Daphnia pulex: one gene and its partner. The protein of the gene in region 2 purifies or fractionates together with the protein of the main gene of each other region. This does not show direct contact. Links are inferred from orthologs where the notes say so. Each region holds a gene or a part of one and is shown on either strand. Other genes may lie near its edges. The genes, in order: Golgi apparatus protein 1-like and oxysterol-binding protein-related protein 8-like.

Region 1 (3,056 bases), on a different chromosome or scaffold from region 2:
AATCAGCAAGGACTGCTGTGTAGACATGCCCAATATGAGGCTCTAAATTAAAAGAAAACAAATATTGTAGTACTATTTGAAATGCTTAAATATGAAAATAAAATTCAAGAAAACACCAAACCTGCATTGACATAAAATATAGGTGTTGTGATGAAATATGGCTCATTTTTTGTGGTAGAAAATTGCCTTAAGCTTCCATCATAAACTTTAGTTCTTTTTTCGTTAAATTTTGAATGAATAAACAAATTATAAGAAAATGAAAAACGTGTTCGAAGAAATCTCATTTTGCCGCTGTCTAAGCAGACGACTGAAGTCACCATAATAGTTATTTAGTTAATCAGAGCCATCTACTGATTGGAATAATAACATAACGCGGAAAATTTGATAAAACATGTTAAAATAATAAATAATCATTTGAAACACACATTTATTAATTGTCGATTGATTTTCTAAATAATTAAAAAACATTTCATCAGCAAAAAGGGACGAAAAAGCGGTTTCCCATACCGGGAATCGAACCCGAGCCTCTTGGGTGAAAGCCAAGTATCCTAGCCACTAGACCATATGGGATATATACAATTGTCAAAATAATGTTATATAATGTACAAGTGAGAAAAAATTTATTTTGTGCACATTTCGACATGCTAATAACGTTAAAATAGCCAAATATGAATGAAATAACATAATTAGGCAATGAACGCATTTAATACATCTTGTTCTTAAATTCACAAAGAAAATTATCAACTTATTGTGCTGGAAATAAAAAAGGTTTCCCATACCGGGAATTGAACCCGGGCCTCCCGGGTGAGAGCCGGGTATCCTAACCACTAGACAATATGGGATGTGAATAAACACGCTAGTTCTTAAATCCAGTGGCTAGAAATTTGTCTAAACTAATCAACAAAAGGCTAAAAATCTATCAGCGTCAAAACATTAACTAATCTTTTCCATTTTTTTATTTTCAAAATCTTATTGGACAAAGAAGGAGGAAAGCAAAAAAAAAAAAATTGTGCGTCTGTTTTTTTATTGCCCAATAAAATCAATGGGGTTGTAATTTAATTTGTCTGATTGAATTATTGAAAGTAGGCGAGTTCGTCAATTTAATTTGGATATACAGCGTAAACACTGATTGAAGGATTGAATTGATTTTCATCGTCTCTTTTTTTTTAGTATGAATTATTATTTCAAGGCACTCGCCCAAGTGTCCCTTCGCTTCTAGATATTTTCATTCTCTATTCTATCACGTATCACACAATTAACCACATCCAAGTTTCTGTTACAGTGCAAACTATCTGTTCTTCATAACTTGATGTCTCTTTGAAATACGACCGCAAAAGACCCCCAGCAAAAGAATTAATCCAACAAATGAGAGCCCCACCGCTAGGAAAACGTGTTTGGCGGGCGAATTACTCAGTTGTTCGACTAAATCGTTGACTGACTCCAGATGCATGACCTGTGAAATGTATAAATGTGTGTCAATTGATTTATGTCACGGATTAATTACTCGGTATGGTATAAGGCATACTTGTGAAGCCTTGGCGAATAATTGCGTCCTCGTAGTAAGCATATCAAAACATTTCGGATCAAATTTCGCTTGCCCTTGCTCTTTAAACCGCAAGAGACATTTCAATCCTATTTACAAGTCACATAATTTAACAACTTTTGCACTACAGATTTACAAAATTGGACATACTTCGACCCTCTCCAGGTGGAACATCTTTGCAAAATGTGACTAAATCGATAGCACAAGCTCGGTGTAGCAACGGATCGGCTTGAATGTCAATCTGGACAGCCGTTATAAGCAGAGCGATGTGGCGTCGACATTCGACATTAGTCAACGTGTCAAATTTTCTTTTCAAGCATTCTTCCACTTGACCTTGTCGGTTGTTTTCAAGCTCTTCAGGTCCACAGTGCACTTCAATCTTATTACAGCAGAAGCAAGTGTTGATGAAGATGATTTTCCCTTAACATGGTAGATGGACACAACATACCTCTTTATCGCAGACACTCACAAGAACAGGATCAAGCTGATAATGTAGAGCTTGTTGTTCCATTATGACCGTTAAATGGTCGGCACAGGACTGGGTCAGCGGCTTTTTAGAAACGAAGTTCTGTTTCAGGCAATCGACAACTTTCCCTTCAAGTTCGCGATCCTTAGGTGCACTCTGCCAAACCTATTCAAATTAACAGTATTATAGAAACAGGATCGATAGTATTACACACAAGAGTAATAAAATACCGCAAGACAAAATTTCGGTATGTCCATGGTGCATGCTTTCTTCAGAGCAGGATTGAAACGAATATCAAGATTCTGTTCAGCCATCCGTTCCAAAATCAATTCTTTGCAATGAAGTTCTAGAGTGGTGTCGTCCAGATGGCTCTAAGAAAGCAAATTAAAATGGTAGATACCCTTTAAAAAAATGTGAGGGAAAGGTCAAAACTACTTTTAAACATTCCAGAGCGCTGCTAGCATCGTTCTGGCATAATCGACGAATTGGTTCTTTGCATTGTTGAATGAGTTGGAAATCAACACCGCTGTCATCCATTTCTTCTTTTTCGACCTGGAAGATGGCTGCATGGCAAATATCATCCAGTTGTTTACGGTGGGTTTTGAGGCATTCCAAAATTCGGCCTTGTCCTGGTTTGATTTGGGCACAAAATCGCTTTTCATCGGATGCGCAAGGCTTGCGGACGTTAGGATTGAACTGGACATCTTCATGCTGTTGGAGCAGCTGGTTCCTAAGCTGTTGGCGGCAAGGTTGAGACACACGATGCTGGGATCCGACATGGTTTCCCAAGCGTGAAACTAAGCTCTGTGCCACCGAGTCGTTTCGAACCATCTCGCTCAGACAAGCTACTACCTTTGGTCTAGATAATTAGAAATGAATGAACACATGAAATAATTGGCAACAAAATCTTAAAATTGGTAATGACTTACTTTTCTTTAATGTTGGGACACAGACGAGAAATATCTTGTTTGCAAGCTCGTTTAAATGGGGCGCTGAAACGGAAGTCCTGTAATGCAATCAATTGGAAATGCTCGACAGCAGCTCGGC
Region 2 (4,623 bases):
AAGAGTACGAAAAAATAATGGACATTAAATCCGAAAATTTAAGAGGGGGACACGTTGACGTGTATTGAGAAGATATCGCTTTATAATTGAAGAAAAAGGAGACAATTGACGCAGATCTTGCCACACAATTGTGTAACACAGTATATCATTGGGAAATGGACAATTTCGCATTGACGGAGGCGAACGAGTAAAAATCGGCACGATGGATGAGAAGACGAAAGGGAAATAGGAAAAAAGGTTTTATATTTTCGACTTGAAGAGAAAAGATGAGAGGGAGGAAAAATTCGAAGCGAAGTAGAGAGAGAGTGGCAAATAAGCAAAGTCGAAAGATATATAATCAATGGAAGAGGAGGAATGTCAAGACGGCACATCATATTCTCTCTCAAATGTCATGGCACTTGATCTCTTTTCTATATAACTATCCCTTCGGCTGCGAGTCCCTGTTTGGTTGTGTGTTTCCGCCCATTTTTAAAAAAATCCCTGTTGCATCACAAACACACACACACACACAAGTCTCCCATGCCATGAGGTCATACTAAATAAATGTCTCATAAATATCTGGATAAATAGAACATGGAAGGAATGCTTTTGCTCCAGTAGTTCACATCACTATCAAACAAAACAGAAAAATTATTATTAATTGTTTTCTTTCTTTTTTCTTTTTTTAGTGTGGAGGGGTATGTAGAACGCATTTCGGGGTGAGTGGGTGGAGGACAAGGGGGGACCGACTAGCACTCGTTACTTCACCATTACTATTACCTCATATTTTTGTTTGTTTCGTACTAGCAAAGAGACGACTCATTTGTTTTTTTCCCGCTTGCCGGCACAGAGATTTCTTAACATACGGGTGAGGTTATGGCGTTGTTGCAAACACAAAATGTTTCGAAACTTGAAGGTAAAGGGAGGAGTAGGGTTGGTGGGTGGGTGGGGATCATTTCTTCCAGTACAACCAGAGAACCACCTGGCAGAGGACCAGCACTAGAACGACCAGGTAAAGGTCACGCGACGACGAGCCGCGCATCATCTTCTTTGGACCCAACGTCTGGTGCTGTTGCAACACCATCGACTGAATGCTCGTCTGGATCCGGGTCAATCGATCCTGCGTTTCCCGGTGCGACTCTTCCAGGTACTGCAGCACGTGGTTCCAGCTGAATAGAATAAAGAAATTAAATAGAAATTGACTTTTAATTAATTTTGAATTTTTATATACCTGGTTAAACCACTCCGCAATTGACGTTTATCCGCTTTCAAGCGACTGTCTTCTTCCGAGCTATGCAATAGATCGCCTTCGGCGGAGGAACTGATGCTTCCGTCGGCATTCCTCCGCCGGATGACACTCGCCCCGTTGACGTTGGCTTCGCTCAACGGCTTCCGGAATTCGGGCCCATTGGGCGACGACAGGACTAACTGTTGCCGGATCGATTCCGTTTGTCTCTCGACGCTGACTATGCTGGCCTCGCGAATCATGGGAGTTCGGTGCCGAGTTTTGGTGGCGATGACGAAATTACTCTCGTACTGGATAACGTCGTTGCGCTGATCCCAGGGGCGGACGTCGGCGTGACGGTAATGCCACGAATCCGTCACTGGGTCCAGCTCGAAGCAGCGAGGCATCCACGTCTCGTTCTGAGATATGCGCAATTTGGTGGCGTTCCTTTGAGCCTCTTCCAAAATCGTCTTCTCGTTCGTGGCCAATTCCTAATTTAATTGAATAACAATTTCAGCTTAAATTTATAAAAAAGATTCACATTTTTATTCAAATCAAAAACCTGATTTTCTTGACGAATGGCGGCTGCCACTTTGCTCCAGAGTTTGTCCGATTCGTAGCCGAGTTGCTCCTCGCTGGCCACCGTCCAGCGTTTGAGTCTGGTGGCCCTGACTTCGGACGTCGGATTCCACAGCGTTTGCTTCTCTCCCGTTCGCTTGTCTTCGATCGTGATGCAGTCGTCCCAATAGCCTGATATGGTGGCCAAAGTTTCTTTGCCCAGTCGAAGCTTGCCCGTCACGTAGTTCATAAAATCCGCTCCGCCAATCATCGGCTGTAAAAAAGACAATAAAATAATCAGATCGGGCAATCCCAGGGCCAATTAAAAATAAAGTTACAGCTTTACCTTGAGTTTAAACTCCAAATCGGCCCGGTAGCCCGTCTTTTCGCATTTCAGGTAGACTTCGCCGCCCATTTCCATGGTGAGTGTCCCGAGCAAAATCCCCTTACAATGAGCGTAAGGCATGGTGATGACGTAATCTTCACCGCGCGGCAATAAAGTTAGCCGAGCCGATCCATCCAGCAGAGCCGACAATGAATTTCCTGTTGTGAAAATTTTTAATTTAATTTAGGAGACGGGAAATAATTTTAATTTATTTTTGGCACGGGATCTACCGTAAAATTTGGATTTGGCCAGAATGGTGGCCGACAGAGTGAACCCGTCTTTACGGTTGGTGACGTAAAGGGCTGATATGGGAGGGTGATGGGACACTTGTTCGGCTATGTAGAACGTGGTGGAGCCGTTGGGATGCTTCCAACAACAGCGAAAGACCTCGCCCAGAATGGGATTGTAAGGTTTCTTGAGACCTTTTGGCTTTTTGTAGAAACCGGAAAGGTACCACTGAACCACTGTTTTCATCCGCGTGAAAGGATCGTCTTCCAAAACAGCTCTATTCACAAAATAAAACATGAAATAAACGATAAAAAATGGCGGGAGAAAATCTCTCACCTGGACAGGATATCGGCGTGGTAATAATAATCAGACAACTTGTCAAGAAATGAGCGCGGTTCCAGAATAAACGTTGGTAAGACCACTTTGGACAAATCCATTCCGGGGCGCACTTGCTTGACAAGAAACCAAATCAAACTTTTGTTATCATCGGCCAATTCTTCCGTCAACTCTCCAGTCTTTTTTTTTGTTATGCAAATGAATAAAAATTTATTTAAATAATTAAAAGAATATTCAGGAGATGGTCTACAAGGTATATACCGAGCCAAACTCTTCTTCTTGTTGGACAACGTACGGCGTCTCGACTGGGAAATCGTCGAGTGATCTCAATTCGTCTTCTTCCGATTCCGAATCGGAGTGATGGGAATCGCGTCGTATGCGCGGAAGACGAGGCCCAACGGTGGCGAAATCAGCCACATCCAGCCCGGAGCCGGAGCGTCGTTCAGCTTCGGTAATGTCGTTTTCATCCGTATGACTAGTATCGTCGAAATCTGCGGGCACGACAAACAAAAGACAAAAAGGGGAAGGAGAGAAGCTGTAATAATAGAGAGCATCTACACAACAAAGCGTACGAACGTCAAAAGCATACGACCAGAATCATTTTACCACTATTCTGTTTCACCAATTTCCTGGCTGAATGACGCGGAAATCGGTGCAAATAATTCATTTTGCGGAGTTGTGGAGAGTTGTTCACACTCGAGCCGGAGCAAGTGGATCGGGGACTCCTGGGAGTCGATTCGTTCGAGGAAAAGGAGGGCGAGATAATGGAAACCAAAGGCACTACTTTGAGGGTATCGTTAACGCGCTCTAGCTCTATTGTTTTCAACAGCAGGGCAGCAATCAACATTTTTGACAATTTTCATCATGACGGGATCGGTGGACGGACATTTTTAAAAAATAATAATAATTGAATTTTACCCTGGTCTTTGAAATGCTTTTCAAAATCCGAGTCGTTCCAGTGGAGATCGCCGCTCTGAGAGGCTGAAGCACCGGAAATGGGATGGCCAGACGCAAGGTCCGAAACGAGACCTTCGCCAATGTTGGTGCTTCGAGTGCTCATGGAACGGATTAAAAGCGATGAGCACTTCAAGGCTAATTCCAGCGCATCCATCCAACATTTGCCAGCTCCTTGAGAAGACACTCGGAAAATCAGGTGAGAGGTGGGCAGCGGTTGAATTGGAGCAGCTAAAATGGAGAGAGTTAAAATAATAATAATAATGATAAATGATTTCCACAGGATGTTGCAAAATATCAAACAAGTGAGCTTACGAATTGTTTCTCCCAAGGGCCCTTTCGGCGCCCATATCGATTGGTCCAATGGATGATAGAGTTTGAAGCAGAAACCGTCTTTTTTCGAAGGACGCTCAATCAATTTGCACATACTCAAGAGTATTGTGCCAACCCAGTCCTGTTATTGGTATCCAAACAAAAATAATTATGTAATCGGTCCAACACACATGAAATCAAATGTAATATTTTACCTTTGCCTTGTCACTTTTGTAAAGTAAGATGACACCTGGTTTCAGAATGCACCACAGTTTCGTCCAACTCTTGAGCATTCCTCTAACTAAAAACACAGATTTTAAGTTATTCAACGGTTTTTCAACACTTTCACATGAAATCTGGTGTAGTCTTTATACCTTTGAGCCAATCTGCCAAGACAACAACAGCTGGGTCTTTAAAGGAACACAACAGTTCATTGGCAGCCTTCTTCTTTTCGAACCTGTAGTTTTTCCTCTGCAGCTTGTACGATTCCTTTCTGGCCACCATAAACCCAGGTGCTGGTGGTACCGTTCCAGGACTACTAGAAGGTGCAGACTCTCCATTCCCCGGTCCCTGCCAGTCAAGTTGTTGAGTTTCATTGCCACATTGAACTCGATCTATAACAGACTGAGGCACCTGGGCACTCTCT

What was found.
Region 1: the proteins of oxysterol-binding protein-related protein 8-like (region 2) and Golgi apparatus protein 1-like purify together in Homo sapiens (co-immunoprecipitation; 3 studies listed by BioGRID and IntAct, with this or other methods). This does not show direct contact. The link is inferred for Daphnia pulex from reciprocal best matches to the Homo sapiens genes OSBPL8 and GLG1.

The regions. Positions count from the first base shown.
Region 1 is NC_060026.1:12,905,873-12,908,928, forward strand, and holds part of Golgi apparatus protein 1-like, read right to left. Parts: coding exon 2,939-3,056; intron 2,869-2,938; coding exon 2,445-2,868; intron 2,381-2,444; coding exon 2,240-2,380; intron 2,175-2,239; coding exon 1,992-2,174; intron 1,923-1,991; coding exon 1,694-1,922; intron 1,633-1,693; coding exon 1,526-1,632; intron 1,454-1,525; coding exon 1,411-1,453; intron 843-1,410; exon of another isoform or gene 771-842; intron 571-770; exon of another isoform or gene 499-570; intron 43-498; coding exon 1-42. UniProt on the Homo sapiens protein: Binds fibroblast growth factor and E-selectin (cell-adhesion lectin on endothelial cells mediating the binding of neutrophils).
Region 2 is NC_060024.1:3,680,593-3,685,215, forward strand, and holds the end of oxysterol-binding protein-related protein 8-like, read right to left. Parts: coding exon 4,352-4,623; intron 4,279-4,351; coding exon 4,193-4,278; intron 4,120-4,192; coding exon 3,981-4,119; intron 3,897-3,980; coding exon 3,630-3,896; intron 3,203-3,629; coding exon 2,973-3,202; intron 2,891-2,972; coding exon 2,712-2,890; intron 2,653-2,711; coding exon 2,378-2,652; intron 2,306-2,377; coding exon 2,109-2,305; intron 2,037-2,108; coding exon 1,767-2,036; intron 1,696-1,766; coding exon 1,211-1,695; intron 1,149-1,210; coding exon 932-1,148; 3' UTR 38-931; downstream 1-37. UniProt on the Homo sapiens protein: Lipid transporter involved in lipid countertransport between the endoplasmic reticulum and the plasma membrane: specifically exchanges phosphatidylserine with phosphatidylinositol 4-phosphate (PI4P), delivering phosphatidylserine to the plasma membrane in exchange for PI4P, which is degraded by the SAC1/SACM1L phosphatase in the endoplasmic reticulum.